Schizosaccharomyces pombe: one gene and its partners. Changing the gene in region 3 together with the main gene of any one other region gives a genetic interaction. Each region holds a gene or a part of one and is shown on either strand. Other genes may lie near its edges.

Region 1 (7,110 bases), on a different chromosome or scaffold from region 3:
TGAAAAGGCCAATAGAAATCACCTTTACACATTTTGCCAAGGAAATTACAGTTACTTTAACTGCCTTGACCCAAGTTTCATAGAAGTCTAATGAGTTAGTGACTGAAGGTAAGATTACCCATTGTCTCACTTACAAGTCAAGAATATTAAAGCCAAAGTGCAAACAAGACACCAAAATCCAAATAATGTCCATTCTGCTGCACCATAATCCTTAAAGAAAGCGTCCTTATACGTTAGATAACAAATTGCGAGTACATTCAGTACATAGATTGGTGTGAATGATATTAGCAGTTTTATCAAGAAAGGGGAAGAATTATCTGTCGACCTGGAAGGATTGTTTTCTCTATGTGTGTTAGGAGGATTATTTACAAGTGCGTGATCTGTTTAAATTAATATGATTGAAATACTTTAGTAAAGAAAGAGCATGTATCAAATTGTGTGCATTGCATGGCCGACTGTAAACAATGACCAAAGCATGCAATTTGACAAGATGGCAAGTTTCAACTTTCCATTGAGTAATTCCTTTCTTATTGTTTACAATTCTTACCTGAATATGGAGGTAATGCGCCCTCTTCCTCCGAATCATATTCTGGGAGTGGTCCTTTTTCCAAATCGATTTCATGATCTGTCTTCAATTCATCTTCTTCATCTAGAGGACTTTTCAAAGAAGTGTAATTATTCTTCATTTCATCAAGATCATTCTTTATTTAATAAAACACATGCGCGAATTAATTGCTATGATTGCGACAAACGAAACAGCAAAATCAAGAATATTCGCTCTGGAGTTCAATTTCAGCTGTTCAACATAAATAAATGAATAATACTCGTTTCAAAGCAAACTGTTTTTTCAATAATAGCAAGTGAAAAGTAGAATTCCAAAACTCATTTTAATGTAATTGCTTCTGACACATTTATTTTGTCACTGCCCTTTTTATTCACCCCAACTTAGATTTCCTTAAACGTTTTTGAGAAGCAAAACGTTGTAGTATAATTATAATGTCAGTACGCAATTTGGTATCTGCTTTAACGATACATAGCACTGCGGCGAGATTTCTAGCGACTTACAACATAGCGGTAAGCGGTATGTTAACTAACAATATTATATTTATTGTTATAAGAAGTCTATTAGTATCGGTCACCGATATAACTCATAACTGAACTGAGGAATGAGGTTCAGTGTGAATGATATTATTAAAATTCTCATAACAATGATTAATATCGTTGTTCGTTACTATCGCATACACACTCTTTACTAAATCGCAAATAAAACTCACTGTAGTTCTAAGCCTGGTTAAATAAATAGTTAATCGCGTGTCTGGCAACTGCAAACCATAATTGACTGTGTAGCGGGTTTCGTGATTTAAAATCTCACTCAAGCATTTGGTCGTTCATAGCCATGCTAAAGTTTTTTTAAAAAATTTTTTAATTTGTTTCGTTTGAAAAGACAAAAACTGATTCAACTTAATTTTGGTATTCATTACTATATTAAATTTTCAACATTTTCAACATTTTCTTATATCAAATACTCCTGCACCCATTTATTGCTGTTCGGTTTTATATTTACCTTTTGTTTACATACTAATTATTATATATTAACTATGGGCAAGTAATTTTCAATCGTTTGGCATATCGTAGAACAAAGTCGAAAAGATATATCTCCTTCACTGATTTGAGTTGTTCAACTTTTTAGTTCGTTTAGTTCAAATAATATATTTTATTCGATATATTTTAGGCGAGTGCGGAATTCGAAATATCAATAAGAATCATATCATATTAAAAAAAATAATTAATTATTTGTAAAAAACGTAAAGCCTTTTGAGCTAGTCAATAAATGGCTCATAACTAAATTCACTGTGCTATAAAGTGGAGGATTTATGTGAAAAGTGTAAATATGAATTTATTATGAAATATTCGGCATAACATGATTTACAAAATTATTTTGAAGCATTTAGCAGATAAACGAACCAATTATTTGACAGAAACTTGACCTTGCAAGCTATGCAATCCCGATTATATTTGTTTACTAGATTGTATTCATAAAGTTTCGAAGACTATAAAAATGGGAAAACATTAAGATGAATAAATGTTGGGATTGAATTAAAAGCTTAAAGACGCATTAAGGCAAGTGAATAAAATTCCTATTTTTAAGTCATAAAAGATACAAAAATACCAAAAAATTGAACACAACTATCAAGAGGATATATGAAACGTTCAGTTCGCAGTAAGAAAAGAAGCCAATGCTTCGTTACAGAAGAGTCAGTTGCTCAGCTTGAAGGTATTCTAGAATTTGGGGAGACAACCGTGATTCTATCATGGTACTGAACATCACCAACATAGACCCTTTAAATTGCAAACGTTGTAATTTCTTCTTTGATTCCTCATTGACTACAGGAAGTTTAGATATTGTTCTGTACAAAGCTTTAATGGAAGACATGGAAATGTACATTAAGGATGGAATAACGCTCAAGACCTCATCCTGGAATGTGGAAAACTCAAAAGCGCGACGCCGTAAACGTGCAGAAATTGGTGGAATTTGTTCATTGGGTTCGAATTCAGCTTGCACTTCATTGATTGGCAAAAGATCCAAATGTTCAATTAGCTGAAGAACTTCGTCCCATTTTTCTTGACCATACAGTTTTTGTACTTTGACAACTTTAAGCAGAACTTTTAATGCCTTTTTGTTGGTTGCTGAAACTTTTGCACTTTTCTTTGGATTGGATTCGTACATTGCTAACAGATTTGCAGCCAAGGCATCTGGAGCTTCACTAGCTACAACATTAGAAGAAATATGCATATTTTTACTTTCTTTGGAATCGATAGACCATAAACCTCGAGAAACAATACTTTGACTAAGGTTTTTGATAGCAACACCAATCACTGTATCGTAATCCCCGAGCAAATGGTATAGTATGATTGAGTCCCCAAACCGTCCATCATCGTCTGCCTCTCTAGCGCCTTCCAAATACAACTTTTGTAATGAGTCATGATCAAAAGGAATGAGACGAAGATACAAGTCTAACAATCCGGTTGTACGCTCAGTATCCGGTTTGATGTCCCCCAAAAACTTTGAAAACTCATGCGATTGAAGCAGAAGTATTTTCGTTAAATTAATACTACACGCTTGATAAGCGGGAACCAAAGGTATGCAAGCTATGTAGTCTAAATAAACAGCTGCATCAACATACTCCAAATGTTTCAGGTAAGCAATGATCAATTGTGGAAAGTTAATTTTAACGTCGTCAGCTTCATATATCAAGATATTTTCATTTTTTTCGTAATTTTTAGTACGTAAGAGACCGTAGTAAGCCATTGCTACAGCAAAATGAGTAGCCTCCACTGGATAATTTGTGTGCAGAAAGCTTATTGCCCGTTCAAATTCACCACACATTAAAAGAGCGAGAAAATAGTTGGTTGGTGTATTATTCTTTGGATTGAAGTACCTGGGACCAAAAGCGACAATTTTCTTTTCTAGCTGATATAAGTTAAAGAGAGAATTTGTGGATTGCCCACCGTTGGAATCAATCACGTCGTTCTGATTTACACGGCAAAACATTAATTGAATCCACATATAATCCTCGGACGTTACACAAACTTCAGGAAGGGATACGCGATGTGGTTCACAGTTCCCTAATAATTTATATATTGCGTGTTTAAAAGGATCTTCAGGAGCATATTTCATTAGTTGACCATACTCAGCCTGTAAGCGATCACGCAATTGTTTTGGCAACGGAAGAGAAGGGTTTTTGGCATAGGAGTAGAAATAAAGTGGGAACGATCTACCAAGTTTTTCAAAATCGTCGGAATAGGTGTTCACAAATTGCAAGGCAGCATCTAACTGCCCTGACCTCATTAGATAGAACAAGACAACCCACAAAGGAACATCATTGACCACTGATACGGTAGACTTAATCCATGACCCGTTTTTGTAGAATCGAAGCTTACTGTAAGCGATCACTTTCTCCACAGAATTGACAGTAGTAATATGACCAGCATCCGAGAGGTGCAGATCAATCAATGATAAAAACTGGTTTTCTAAATACTTTAAAGACCCTTCTATGCAGTTTTTCTCTACGGCAAGCGCGGCAGAGCTAGAATCCAGAGCCAAATGTCTAGCTTCAAAATCACCCATACCATACCGGGTTTCATCAATCATATGGGCCAACAAAGACCATGCATCGAAAAGTTGAATAACTTCGGTATTTACCATCTGACTAACCGATGCAAACAAAGACCAAACATGGCAGGCTTGATTCCTAATCCGTGCCTCATTTAATTTGTGAACAGCTGCTGCAAATGAACTAGCTTTTTCGGCAAAACCAAAAATGTTCGTCGTCTGTGATCTAGTCAAGTCATTAGAAAGTTGATTATTAAGGCCGTCTATCTTGGTCAAGGACCCTGTAGGAATTGGTAGGTTTGAACCGACTTCTCGTAACGAACGAACACTCTGTGATTTAACGGATGAAGCTGTCAATAACGGCCTAGCCAAATTTGGTCTAAGCGACATGCTGATTGAAGTACCTAAACCGGAATTATCCTTGGAGTGAAGCAATTTACCGACATCTTCCATAAATTCCGTTTTTGTATTTTCCCACGCTATGCCATTATTTTTCATTAGTCGTAATTGGAACTCGTAAACATTGCTTTGATAGCCGTTCTCTATGCTAGCAACCACATTTTGTCCATTGTATAGTTTCGTATGAGGTTGCTCATACAAAGACTTCTTGTCAAGCTCCAATTGATCCCAAGGAGAATGAATATGAATGGAATAAATCTTTTGGCGTGTTTGCTCAGCGTTCATACCACTTTCAGCCAGCAAGTAATGACTAGATTGAGTTAATAATTATTCAAATTCAGGCATATATAGCAGAAAAAAGGAATAGAAGACAAGAGTGCCAAAGCAATTTAATAAACGTATACTGTTAAGTAATGAAATATTTCTAATCTTGTTGTCACTCGACACAACGTTCAATCTAATATCAACTTACGCTTTCGTATCACCGTCACGCGTCAATAAAACTTTTGACTCTAAATTTCGAGCCTTCTCTTCTAATTGATTTAATCCATATTGAATAACTGGCACTTGAGGTTCTAGGAGGACACCAAACAAATGTTGTGATTTTTCACGTAAATCCGATATAGAACTTTCTATCTGAGATCCCTTAGAGTCAGAAGTATTTACCCCTTTCTCTTTGGCTTCCTTGGATTCCATCAGCAAAAGGATCTAAAGTTGTCAAAAGGTTGGTTTACGCATGTATCTTTCCTTACTTCTACAAAACATTGAGCACATAACGAACCCGTCACAGTGCATCGTAATGTATTTAACAGCAACGTTGCATAACGCGCTATCTGCTGGATGCGAATAAAATTAAACTGTATATAATCTTCATTTCATGCTTTGAAAGTTTTGTTCAGGTGGCATCTTACTCGGCTTCTATTATTTTAAATATATTGAAACATTTCTTCTAGACATTTGTCGATTTCAAACGCATCTGCATGAATATTTACTGTACTCAAATAGTTACCATTGTAAAGCTCAATACTATTATTTATTATGAAAAGGATGCAATTCTGAAATGGAAATCAAAGAACTCATACCATAAATACACCTATATACACTCAAACTATATGTGAGTATTCTTCAATTTACATGCAAAATTTAAATTTCATAACACGAAACTAATTCCTTAAGCAGTTTAACACATATGAAGCAAATAACTTAATACTTTGACTTATTACCACAGTAACAAAGCAAACGAAAACACGAAAACACTTACATATATTTACAGTCATACTAGTAGAAAAAAGATTCTTTAAAACAAATTTATTAACTATTAATTTGTTAATATTTATATAACCTCGTTAGTCATGTCTATTACAAAAAAACATTGTTCACAACATAATTTTCACAATTAAAACCGCCCATTAAAAGATTTTTCTTCATGCACAGTATTTTAATCAACCTCCTCAACCTCAGGACCATTGTCACCACCAGGGGCAGCACCAGGAGCAGCACCAGGAGCAGCACCAGGAGCGGCGCCAGGCATGCCACCGGGAGCACCACCAGCTTGGTAGATCTTAGCCATGATGGGGTTAGCAACACTTTCAAGCTCCTTTTGCTTGGCCTCGAACTCATCCTTGGCAGCAGTAGTGTTACTGTCGAGCCATTCAATGGTCTCTTTGACAGCCTTGTCAACGGTCTCCTTGTCGGAAGCATCAACCTTGTCCTTAAGGTTAGGATCATCCAAAGAGTTACGAAGAGAGTAAGCATAAGACTCCAAGTGGTTCTTGGCTTGGATACGACCGGACTCGGCCTCATCCTCAGCCTTGTACTTCTCAGCTTCGGCAACCATACGGTCAATTTCCTCCTTGGAAAGACGACCCTTGTCATTGGTGATGGTAATCTTCTGAGTCTTACCAGTACCCTTCTCGAGAGCAGAGACATTCAAAATACCGTTAGCATCAACATCAAAAGTGACTTCAATTTGAGGAACGCCACGAGGTGCAGGGGGGATACCGGAAAGCTCAAACTTACCAAGCAAGTTACAGTCCTTGGTACGAGCACGCTCACCTTCAAACACTTGAATCAACACACCGGGTTGGTTATCAGAGTAAGTGGAAAAGATCTCGGACTTCTTGGTAGGGATGGTAGTGTTACGCTTGATAAGGGGAGTCATGACACCACCAGCAGTCTCGATACCCATGGAAAGGGGAGCAACATCAAGCAACAAAAGATCTTGAGTCTTCTCAGAAGTGTCACCAGTCAAGACAGCAGCTTGGACGGCAGCACCATAGGCAACAGCTTCATCAGGGTTGATGGACTTGCAAGGCTCCTTACCGTTGAAGAAGTCAGAGACAAGCTTTTGAACACGGGGAATACGGGTGGAACCACCGACTAAAACAATCTCGTTGACGGAGGCCTTGTCGACCTTGGAGTCACGGAGAACACGCTCGACGGGCTCCATGGTTTTACGGAAGAGATCGGCGCAAAGCTCCTCAAAACGGGCACGAGTAATGGAGGTGTAGAAGTCAATACCCTCGAACAAAGAGTCAATCTCAATGCTAGCTTGAGCAGAAGAAGAAAGAGTACGCTTAGCACGCTCACAAGCGGTA
Region 2 (5,625 bases), on a different chromosome or scaffold from region 3:
CAACAATAACCAGAATTATGGCAATAACAACAACCAGAATTACAATAACAACAACAACTCATCGCAAGGTGGAAATTCTCAGGGCGGTTCTGGTCTTTTAGGGCAGGCGGTGAATATGTTCTTGAAATCGTGAATATCATTTTTCCTTCGCTTAGTCATTAATTCCTAAACCTCTTCTATCCCACAGAAACTTCAAACGCTAAGCTATTCAAATTGAAAGCGTTCGTTCTCATTTTCTTTGGTAAACAGGTTGGTGAGCGCATTCTAGTTCTTTTGATAGTTAGAATCGTATACATATACCATATACATATTTATACAGACGTCAAGGCAAGTGGTTACTCTTGGTTCATATTTAATTAGTATTTACTATATAATTGAGTATCGATGTTTATGGGTCATATAGGTGTCATTCAACCTTTCTAAATCGAATAGTACGTAGCATTAGAGGTATGTCTGTATTCTATAGACAAATTAGTTTGTTTTAGTAGCTTTTCATCTAAATAGTTAATATCTGATATATGCTGAAATCTACAGTGTAAACAAATATCCTTACACAATACTTATAATAATATGCTTATCGTTATAGTATGTTAACTCTCTTTGAGAAGCGCAGCATGCATCCTGTTCACTTGAAATAACGATATCGCTTACATCCATCTTTTTCACAGGATCCAATGGTTGGGTTTGGGAATCAGCCATGTCCCATCTGCCATCAGCAAAATAAAAACGAGCGTGAGTATCGCTGTGTAGGCATCTATATATAGACCAAATACCCGCTGAAAGTTGGAATAAGCAATCGATACTTTTATCTCGGCTGATCGCAAATTAAAAAAGCATACTCTCATTTAAATAGGTTCCGTTGTTTGAACTTTTAGATTTTTCGACAAATTGCTACTGCTTCTGATTTTCCTATTATTTAAATAGTTTACAATGTTTACTAGAACAATTAGGCAACAGATTAGGAGATCTTCTGCCCTTTCTTTAGTGCGAAACAATTGGACTCGTGAAGAAATTCAAAAAATTTACGACACACCATTGATCGATTTGATTTTTAGAGCCGCTTCCATACATAGAAAATTCCACGACCCCAAGAAAGTTCAACAATGCACTTTACTTTCTATTAAAACAGGTGGATGTACAGAAGATTGCAAATATTGTGCGCAATCTTCCCGCTACAATACCGGTGTCAAGGCCACTAAGCTCATGAAAATTGACGAAGTTTTGGAAAAGGCTAAAATTGCAAAGGCTAAAGGAAGCACTAGATTTTGTATGGGAAGTGCCTGGCGTGATTTGAATGGTCGCAATCGCACCTTTAAAAATATTTTGGAAATCATCAAAGAGGTTCGCAGCATGGATATGGAAGTTTGCGTAACCCTTGGTATGTTAAATGAACAGCAAGCCAAGGAACTAAAGGATGCAGGCTTGACGGCATACAATCATAATCTTGATACCTCTCGCGAATATTACTCAAAGATTATCAGCACTAGGACATATGATGAACGGTTAAATACTATTGACAATCTTCGGAAAGCTGGGTTGAAGGTTTGTAGCGGTGGTATTTTGGGTCTAGGGGAGAAAAAGCATGATCGTGTAGGATTGATTCACTCGTTAGCAACTATGCCAACACATCCTGAATCTGTACCCTTTAATCTTTTGGTCCCGATTCCTGGCACCCCTGTAGGAGACGCTGTAAAAGAGAGACTTCCGATTCATCCTTTCCTTCGCTCCATTGCAACAGCTCGTATTTGCATGCCAAAGACTATCATTCGTTTTGCAGCTGGACGTAACACGTGCTCCGAGTCCGAGCAAGCACTTGCTTTCATGGCTGGTGCTAATGCAGTTTTTACCGGTGAAAAAATGCTTACTACTCCTGCTGTTTCTTGGGACTCAGACAGTCAGCTTTTTTACAATTGGGGTTTGGAAGGAATGCAAAGCTTTGAATATGGAACTTCTACTGAGGGAGAAGATGGCACTTTCACCCTTCCCCCGAAAGAGCGCCTTGCTCCTAGCCCTAGTCTTTAATCGTTGTAATGAGTTTCCATTCATTCTATTTGTAAACTAAAGTCTCTTTTTTAAAAGCTAATTTTGGTTTTCCCAGCCTGGTTCTTTGATGTGATTCCAAAATCAAATCAGACTGTAATTTTTCTTCTTCTACCAGTTACATTCATTTAATAAAGCCACCGTGTTGCTGATATATTGATACTTTAAATTTGTTGCAAGGAACTTCCATTTATTGTTTTTCCAATAGAAGTTGGGAGATTTTGAGTATTTCAATATCAAATCCCAGACATCATAAGAGCCTCACAGTTAGCAAAAAGCCGTTTAGAACCCTTTGAATTTACTTGTGCTAATGTGCTGTTCATTCGATAAATCAACCGTTAGGTTATTATTATTCAAATAGACGACTTCAGATAAGGTTAATATGGGACAAATTCTTATTAGATGGTTTATTCCCTACGGAACAGAAGTCTTTCGCATATTAAACATAGATCAATGCACGAATTACTCTCAGTTTGCATATTAAACAACTTCTGTAAATTATCTCACTCATCACGACAACGCTTGATTGCTAATTATAAATTTGTTACTAGAGATAAACTTAAGTTCGCTCACATAAACGTGGAGTGAGTTTTGAGCTTTAGCTACTATATATTTTGTTATAGATAAAACTAGCTAATAAATAGCGTGCACTTGAGTTCGATAAGCGCACTTTGTAACCGACCAATATAGTTATATTTCCAGCAAAGTTCTACGACTTCCGTTTTATATACCAACTGACTTTTAGAAAATTGGTCTTCTGAAAAACGTTGGTAGAGCGACTTTATTGCATTTTTGTTGCCTTCATTTTCTTGAATTTCTGCTACGATACACTGTGTTGTAAGCGAGTCGTTTATTGTCATTTAATGAAGTTTAACGAATTCAAAGTATTAATTATCCAAGAGCTGTATGTCATTTTGTAGAAAACATGAACCAAACGTAAAAAGGAATAATTATAAACGCAAAAACTGGTAAATGCAAGATTGGCGCGCAGCATTAGAGGTAATTTCTGATTATTTTACTTCTCACTAAGTGATTTAGGAATATTATTCGAGATATCTAGATTCTGCGCTAGTTCTTGCAATTGTAAATGACAGTGATGATAGTAATACCGCACGAGAAATACTTGAAGCTTTGTCCATCGAAAGCCAGTGTGATTCACATGAGGAACATTGGGATAATTTGAGGCGTGATGAGCAGGAATTATTAAACCTTAAAACTCTAGATGAAGAGATAAACAAAATAGATGAGGAGGATTTTACCTGGGAACTAAAGGATTCGAGTTTAGAACTAGATCCCGATGTCTACAATTTTTTGAGATCTATGTTTAGCGATCTTTCTGCTGCGCGGGTTCAATTGGTTCAAGCGAAATGTCAAAACGACCTCGTTCGCTCAAGCGATGAACTGTTAAATCATCGTGCCATACAGGAAAGTGAACAGATAGAGACTGCTGCTGACGCTCTGATTACTTCCAACATAGGTCACCGTTCTCGTCAAAGGAAAAAGAAAACTAAAAAAGCAACTAATTCTAGAAAACCTTTGAGTAAATTTCAATCCAACACTGAGGAAGTCAATGAAGACCCAATTCTAAAGCCTTCTCTTTCCGTTTGGGAAAATAATCGCCTGTTGATTGAGAAGCTTACATCTATTCTCAATATTCCATCTTCACAAATTAATCATGAGTTTTATAAAAATTCGAGTGCTTGGCCAATAACCATCAGAAATTTAATTCATAGGCACCAGCCGCTATCAAATATAACAAATAATGAGTTGATGAAGTATCAAGAAGAAGCAACTCAACTGGCGAAAGATACTGGTCTTTCACTTAAAATTTGCACAGACGTTTTGATTTGTAGTAACGACTACAAAAACGCATTATGGATTTTATGCTTAATTAAGGAAACTCAGCATAATGAAATGGGAAACATCAAACTGAGTTCACAAACCGCGAAGTCAAATTCTTCGACGCAGACCAAAACATGCTTAAATGATCAGAGTAGTAAGTTGGTTGAAGATGATGAAGCGTTGTCTGCTGAAGATTGTAACCGTCTTGCCGAAGAGTATTTGGAATTACGAAATATGCAATATTCTAACTCGGCTAAAGAATATCGAAGAAGCAAAAGTAATCATCTTTTTGGTGGTTCTGCAATGTATCATGCTCAGTTAGGGCGCGAATACCACGAAAAGGCACTTAAGTACCGATCTCTTGCTATGCGATCTCTTGCACATTCTGGAACATCTCACTCTTTGGATTTGCATGGAGCTACTGTCCGCGAGGCAAAGACAATAGTCCGTGAACGTGTTGCTGCTTGGTGGGCTAAAGAGGCAGATACTTCTCCTAATAGTATTCGTCCTTTTGTTATTGTCACGGGTCGTGGCAATCATAGTATAGGACTTGAAGCTCGACTTTTGCCGGCGATCGTCAGATTGTTACAGCAGGATCATTGGAGGTTTGATGCTGAGCATGGTCAAATAACTGTATACGGTATTAATCGACACTCTAAGCTTAATAGCAATGCATGAGCATGCGATCTATTAACTTGCGCATTGCTAGTCTGCCATATTCTTTTGGTTTGTTCTATTTATTTATTTTCGCTCTTCCAACTGCGTTAACATGTTACACCAACATTTTTTGCTTAAGCCCTTATCTCGAGCAAAATATTATTTATTATCAAAAGTAAGTAATTGTAGTTACTTGCTCGCCGAGGAGAGCACATACTAAAAAAAATTGATTCATAGGGTTTCAATAGATTCTTGGTTAAAGAGATTAGGTAATTACAATAAGTGTAATTGATGTAGGTTTCATCATGGAACAGAAAACAATAGTCGTAAAGTTACAGAACGTTTAGTCGAGAATATCAACATTACAATAAGGCTTTTGTATTTGGCAAGTATTATAAACCAAAGAACAAATGTATCCAAAAGATAGACGCTTTAGTAATGCAGAAAATCGCAATCCTCATGCTAGAATTGCATTATAAATGGGAAAAAAGGCGCCACGTATTTAAGATACTTCGGAAGACGCATAGGAGGATGCGCCGCTGTCATACAGAAACCGTGAATTGGTGCGAGAAAATGGAACAGTATTATTTCTTCCTGCCCTTTCAAGGGATCCATCAGAAAGTAAGTACGCAGGAGAGTAAGTTCCATCGGGATTTTTTAAAGCAGGGTTAGGAGACGTATCAGAAACGCCGCCCAAAGAGGTGTAACCTCTATCATATAAAGAACAGTATTTTGTGTTTGTTTCAAGAAGTAGCTAATGTTTAGTATATTGATATAGTAATATGTCAAAGAGAAAACTTACATCCCATATTTCAGTATAAGACCAATCCAATATTGGTTGTATTCTCATAAATTTAGGCCAACCTTTGTCTGTCACTTCAAAAGCTATACGATGCAAGCCATGCGGATCCAGCCGCCGAATACCTATAAGTATCGCTTGAATGTGCTTATGTTCCTTGAGAAACTTGCAAAATGCTTCTTTCATGGGAAGTGATATTTTAATGATATTAAGGCGATATTTTGACTGACACTCGTTCACAAAATCATCCATCTCTGGAAATTCATCTCTAGGTCGAACAAAAACGA
Region 3 (7,011 bases):
ACTTCAAATTTCTCATCGGTGTAAGTGCAAGGCTCCATAGTTACAGAGTATTTTTCAGCTCCGAGCGATTCTATAGTTTGAAAGGCATTGTTCAAATAATCTGTGCTAATTTCGCTTTTCATAGGTTTTAATGGCTTTCCATTTACATATTTGACCCATTTTTTTATTGCCTTCTTTTGCTCTTTTGCAATTTTAAAATTATAGCTGTCGAGTCTTCAACATTCGGCGGTTAGTAATCAATCATATTTGGCGACTTATGCTAAGTACCTGATTGTATAAAGAGAACAGCAAGATGTTTTCCCGTTGGGTTTATATAAATAATGTCCTGAACGTCTTATTTTATATTAGCAATGTTAACTAATAAAGGTTTTTACCTCCATCCCAAATCAATCAATCGCTGGTAGTCCTGAGGTTAAATGTAGGTTAGCAAAATTTGCAAAAAGCAGAGTTATACGCTTACTTCACAACTGAGCTTTTCTGCTAATAAACCAAAATGCTCGGTCTTTCTTCCACTTTTACAATAACCACATTCAGTACTGACGTTGTACCCTGTGTACAACAGTTTATCCAATACCATACTATTGTTTGAAAATTTCCCTGTTTAATATTAAATGAACTATATCATCAGTAGTAAAACTCTTAGTTCAGTTCTTTTGCCTTTATTTTGAAGGCTCTTTGAGTAGGTGAACTAAGACTACACCAATTATTTCTTGAAGATTAAGTACCCTATTTTTCGTTGAGTGCATGTTTATAGAAATTTCCTGATTAATCATATTAAAAAGTCTATCACATTTTCATACGAATATCTAGAAAAAAACCCAAAAAATACATAGTTCTCTTGACACCTTTTACAAGAGTCAATGACAAAAGTGTATACGTCTAATACAACTATAACATGCACTAACGATAAACAAAACATATAAAAAGCGACTAATATTAATATTATCCACGATACCATCCACCAAGTTCTATATATATAAATTAAGTCTAAAAGGTATATCAGTAAACCGTAAATATGTAAAAGACCAACTTCAACAACTAGCACCGTCTAAAGAAAATTAAAGGATAAACAACTCTCAACTTGTCAATCCAAAGAGCGAATTAAAAAATTAGTCTGAAATTATTCTTCATCATCAGAGAAGAATGATTTGGGTTTTTCGGTGCCCTTGGGAGATTGTAACCATGCTAATTCTCTCTCTCTAGCACGTCTTTCTTTGGCCTTGATTTCATTTCTCGTCAATTTCTTCTTTTTGGTAGCTTTAGCCTCAATCTTTTTCAAATCTTTCTCCGACAGATCTTCAAACTTTCCATCGTCAACAGCGGTCTTGCCCTTACCGGTAACCTTACCCGCTTCTACATGCCAGTGTTCAGGACACAACGCAGAAACAAATTCTTCATTATGTGAAATCATAACGACCCCACCTTCCCAATCACGAATAGCAACAGCTAAACCACCTAATGCATCTCTGTCCAAAAAGTTTGTAGGTTCGTCCAAAACCAAAAGCTGGGGGTTATTCCAGAGACACGCAGCAATAACAACTTTAACCTTTTGACCGCCAGACAAACTACTAATGGGGCTGTAATCAGCAATGTCGCCAGGAAGGCCCACATCCTCAAAATGTGCCCTGATGTCTTCGGGAATCAATTCACGGAAACCGAGACCTTCGCGAGAAGATTCCATATCATCAAAAGCCTGTACAAACTTTTGAAACCCATTTTCAAGCAATATTTCTCGAGACACCCACGTATTGTATTTATGAGGCTTCCCAAACCATTTAATTTCATATTGAAATGACTTTTTTAGTTTTTGACGGCCAATCAAAGCTTCCACTCTTCTACGTTCGCCATTGACCGTAATATCACGCTGAAGCTGAGCACGGTCTTCTTCGGTAAGTTTTCGAGATTCCTTCTCTGAAACTTCGCGGTCCTGTCCTCCAGCATAACGCCATTGAATATATTGACTTGGCGTTTTTTCCAGATGTTGATCCAAGTGATGAAAGGCATGCTGAGCAACGTAACCCACACGCAAGTTGGGATGCTTGAAAACTTTTCCTTCTTGAGGGATTACTTCACCGATAAGAACTTTAATAAGCGTTGATTTACCAGCACCGTTAGGACCTAAAATGGCAACACGAGAAGATAAAGATAACCCAACGGTAACATTATCTAATGACTTCTTCTTCGCGTTGGGATATGTATAAGAAGCGTTTGTCATTTTTAATATGAGACGTGTGTTTGAGCGCACACCAGTTAAGATACCGGGAGGTGGAAAAACAAACTTCTCGTTTGTGGCTGTCAATGTATAGTATGATTTAGCTTCCGGTTTGACCTTGACAAAAGCTGAAAGATTACCTTGATAATAACCAAGCTTTTTTGCCTGGTTTTTAACACCTTCATAATGAATGATGTCAGTACACACGTGGTCCAAAAATGAAGAGTCGTGAGAAACTATCAAGCAAGTAATATTCTTTTGAGAGGTTAAATATGCTTCCAGCCATGCAATATTGGCAACATCAAGATGATTTGTTGGTTCATCCAAAAGCAAAATATCAGCTTTCTGCAACATGGCACGAGCCAACTCCAGTTTCATTTTCCAACCACCAGATAAAGAAGCAACAGGATTTTCCTGCATCTCCGCAGTAAAACCAACAGAATGCAAAGCATCAGCAGCTTCTTGACGGGTAACATTCATAGTCAGTAACGCCTTATCTTGAGCAACAAAGTCAAGGATAGCCATACTAGTATCCTCGCCTTGAAGACTATGTGCAACAAAGCAAGTTTTAACCTCATCAGGTGAGGGAAAGTTTTCAACCTTGTAATCACCAATAGCGCGTAACAAGGTTGATTTACCACAACCATTGTGACCAACAACACCGTATCGATGACCTCTATAAAGGTGAAGATTGGTATGACTCAGAAGCAATCTGCCACCGTATGCCAAAGAAAAATCAGTGTTAACTAGTTCCTCTTCCTCAATAGTAAGGTTTGAAATCCCATCAACAGAATTTAATGACTTATAGAAGGCGTGAAGGTCATCATATATCTTTGATGATATTTGTGAAGCCAATTCTTCCCCGACAAGTGGAGATAAATAAAGCACACCTAATTGCGAAGTCCATTTGTCTTTGTCAAAATTATTTGACTTATACAATGCTGCTAAGGCATCGCAGACATAATCTATGATACTGTTGGCCAACTCATGTGGTACACTAGTGTTTTTAAGGACGGCCTCACGTAATTCTTTACAAGCGCTATCTAACGCCTGTTTCTCAGAATTGTTTGCAGCCTTTGCAGCCTGAGCAGCTGCAGCCTTGTTTAGAGTAGTAAGTGCATGAGAAGCAAGGGCACGAACTTCAGGCATAGCAGCAGTTTGAGCAATACGCTCAACGTCCGGAATTAACTCAGGAAGAAAATCAGATGCCTCGGCAGGATCAGGAACCAGTTTACATAAGTTGTCAGTAATAATGACAGTCAACCGCAGCATAGACTGTGATCTCTGAGCTAATGCTCGCTTTAAGATAGGAACGAGCACAGCTAAAGCAACTGATTCAACTGTAGCTACAAATGTTGTAGCGCTTAAATCTTTAATACAAGCTTCCAGTGTTTCCGGATGAGCCATACAATCGACGAGCTTTGGTATATGAGGAATAATGTCGTTGTTTTCAACGACGGAACATAAGTTCAACATGCATGTAATAGCGGCACGAGAAATTTCCGGTTTCGTATCATGCATTCGTTCTTTAATACAAGGAATGAGAGCGGCCATGTAATCAGCAACAGCCTTGGGGGATGATGATGCAAGAGAGCCCAGTAATTGCAAAGCAGCCACTTTACTAGGCCATTTGATAGATGAATCGTCTAAGTAAGAAATCAAGCTTGGAATTAAGCGCGTTTCTACGGCTCCTGCAGGAAGACAATCCAAGAGGGCTTGGGCGGCCATTTTGGCGGCTTGTCTAACTACTTCACCACGATCCGAGAACGAATCCAAAATAGTAGGAAGATAAGGAAGGAATACAACTTCGGAAGGCGTACCCAAATTTTTAATAACAGTAGCAAAACCAATCATGGCAGCTTCACGATGGAATCCCGACTTCTTATTGCGAGCTGCACGTTCCAAGCCATCCAAAAACCCCGTAGTCTTCAAAGTGACTAAAGGGTTGTCATTTGAAAAAAGCTGGGCAATTTTTTTACCTACATCAGCACAGCTTTGAGAAGTTTCAGCATCCAACAATTCCTGCAATAATTTGAGGACATCGTCCTCTTCGTAACCCTGAATTAACACAGAGGATGTCATTTCTCTGCAATGCCGTTCCAAATCCCACAATTAACCCGATTAGGCCTTGCAATGTAGCTTGGTGGAGGACAACTATTGATATTGTGAGAATCCCTTTCATATACTAAATTTTAACCGCTCGCAAATTTATAATTTGCCTTACAGTTCCTTAAACGCCGACTATTGACAAATAGTACAGTCTCAGTATCGCTATAGCTTATTATAATATAATTACTTTAGTTCGCTATTTAGTACAGATGTTAAAAGTAAATAATATATCCTCAATATTCTGTCAAAAAAGATTTACTGAACGGACCACCTGCATTTGATGAATTAGTAAATAGAGATATTAATCCAATTAGTTCGTGAAACTCTGCTATAGTGGGCCCATCGGATCTGATGAATTTGACAGTGTAGACCTATTAGGTACCAGGTACTACCGTAGGGTATTGTACTTAATCAGCAAGAAGATACAATGATTTGATAACTTTTTAGAAAGCTTGTTTCTATATAAACCAACCAAAAAAGCTCTATAGGGATTTTTTACTACTACTCTGTTAAAATATTAGTCTGCGTCCTTATATTAATTTTAACCATAAAACGAAAAATTGGAGAAATAAATTGATTTCAATAGTTAACAGATTTCATGTAGATTCACATAATTTTGCCAATATATTTTTCCTCTGTTCTGCTCAGGTTACTAGTATATTAATAATACATAATTTAAGCTGTCACATACTACTTATTTATTTTGAGGTTCCAATATTTTATATTATTTTTCAACTAAACCGACAATCGTATTAGGCTAATGACCACTAGATATAATAAAATCATAAATTACTTATAGTACAAAAATCGGCTGCCGTTTGTGATGCAAGCGTCGTATTTTTGTTCATATAGGGTTGGGTTCGAGTTACCGAAAGTTAATGTCGCTTCGGTTGTTTCTCTAGGGACAGGGTATTTTCGTTGCTATTGACTTAGAAAAGTCGTGGAGTTATTAATAAACAACCAATAAATTTCAACTCGATTAAATACATTTTATTGTTAAGTTTTCCGTCGTTGTTTTGGCTTAAGACTGAGAAAATCAAGTCAATGGATATCAAATACAATGAGTTGGTCAACCAATTTGCGCCGGGAGCAAAACAAATTACTATAAAAAAAATACGAAAGAAAGGCAATGGAATTTTTTCTTTGAATAGGTATACTTCTGGAACTGTTCTTTTAGAGGTTCCACTTGAAAATATAATATGCCGCAAAACAGTTGAACAATTTCGAAATTCTTGTGATAAATTCGCTTCAATCGCAACGCTTGAGGAATGGAACGATATGAGTTTCAGAACTCAGGCTATGTTATTTCTTTGCTATTTATGGCTCGGTATTCAACCCCGAACCAACAAGTGGGATAAGTTTTTAACGGTTCTTCCTTTATCTATCAATACGCCTGCACAATGGCCCGAAAAAGAAGTCTACAGCCTCCAAGGCACTTCGATTTTTAATCCAGTTTGTGTCAAGAGAAAAATTTTACAACAAGAGTGGCTTTCATTAAACCAGCGGTATTCTGATTCCTGGCCTAGTAAAATAACACTCCCAAAATGGGTTCATGCTGATGCTTTGTTTCACAGTAGGTGCCTTGAAAGTCCCTTTAAAGATCCAGTTTTAGCTCCTGTGATTGATTTATGTAATCACTCCTCTAAGTCTAATGCAAAATGGTCATTTTCGGAAGATGCTATGCAGCTCTATCTTGACAAGGACATTGATGAAAATGAAGAAGTTACGATAAACTATGGAAGTGAAAAAGGTTCTGCTGAGTTTTTATTTTCTTATGGTTTTTTACCTGAACCTGAGGGCGATCGGATTACAAATGTTATGAAACTCTTGATTCCCGAGGATTCTAATGACTCGCTTGATCTTGCTAAAAGGAGATCTTGTAAAACTCCCCCCATGATTGAATTTGTTTCTGATTCATCTGGGGAATTATGGTGGCATGCTCCATTTCTTTTTTTTTCTGTACTTAATGTTGAAGACTTTACAAACTTCAAAATGGTGTGTGATGAATCAAAAGCTCAAACAGTTGACTGGGAATTTGAAGGTCAAAAATGCTCAGTTGAAGATTTGCCAAAGCTTGTACAATTATCTCCTAAAAGAGATTTGTATATTTTACGTGTTTTTTGTCTCGCTGAACAATTAGCGGATGCTGCCCTAAATACAAACATTGAGAATATGTACAATCCAACCGAACGACGTTCAGAATCGGTAGAGCTTTTAAAGCGTGAAAGTTTCTTACTTAAGAAAGTCCTTTTATATCTTAGAGACGTTATTTCAAAGCTCCTTAAGTCCAAAGTTGTGGTGGAATTCATCCATAGCCAGACCATTGAGTCATGAATCGACCATGCATAAAAAGTTATTTATTTAAAAAAAAAAAGAAAATATTTAGTATGTGATGAATACTCTACAAATCTCTTAATTTGGAATGACTAATCGTGTATAATAATATAATATCCGTAATATATCCATACCAAATAAATTAATCAGTAATTGTGAAAAAAATAAGTATCTATTTTGATTATGCTATTAAATATTAGGAAATTTTCAATTGTAGTATTGATACCAGTTTCCTGTATTCTAAGGCGTTAGTATTCAGATTGGACTACCATTAATACTATTTCGGACTATGTATTCTACCACACCGACAACTTTGACATAAAGCGACCTAGTTCCTATTTAATAGCTCGTGCAGC

The links.
Region 1: of elf1 (region 3) and npp106, a mutation in one rescues a mutant of the other (synthetic rescue), as found in Schizosaccharomyces pombe (one study listed by BioGRID).
Region 2: of elf1 (region 3) and cue2, changing one suppresses a phenotype caused by changing the other (phenotypic suppression), as found in Schizosaccharomyces pombe (one study listed by BioGRID).

Annotation. Positions count from the first base shown.
Region 1 is NC_003421.2:2,058,028-2,065,137, reverse strand, and holds npp106 (nucleoporin Npp106), read right to left. Parts: upstream 5,241-7,110; 5' UTR 5,210-5,240; coding exon 4,986-5,209; intron 4,824-4,985; coding exon 2,246-4,823; 3' UTR 1,804-2,245; downstream 1-1,803. Other genes in the region: wtf meiotic drive antidote-like Wtf21, read right to left, coding at 1-87, 135-380, 548-686; heat shock protein Ssa2, read right to left, coding at 5,952-7,110.
Region 2 is NC_003421.2:176,027-181,651, forward strand, and holds cue2 (SMR domain-containing protein), read left to right. Parts: upstream 1-2,965; 5' UTR 2,966-3,012; coding exon 3,013-3,039; exon of another isoform or gene 3,040-3,078; coding exon 3,079-4,560; 3' UTR 4,561-4,787; downstream 4,788-5,625. Other genes in the region: SPOM_SPCC1235.01 (uncharacterized protein), read left to right, coding at 1-133; bio2 (biotin synthase), read left to right, coding at 931-2,022; FAD synthetase Nad1, read right to left, coding at 5,042-5,293, 5,342-5,625.
Region 3 is NC_003424.3:2,078,154-2,085,164, forward strand, and holds elf1 (AAA family ATPase Elf1), read right to left. Parts: upstream 4,365-7,011; 5' UTR 4,295-4,364; coding exon 1,121-4,294; 3' UTR 917-1,120; downstream 1-916. Other genes in the region: ate1 (arginine-tRNA--protein transferase), read right to left, coding at 1-213, 268-333, 375-406, 461-577; lysine methyltransferase Set8, read left to right, coding at 5,366-6,655. UniProt on the Schizosaccharomyces pombe protein: Has a direct role in the mRNA export process. Appears to act within the rae1 mediated mRNA export pathway.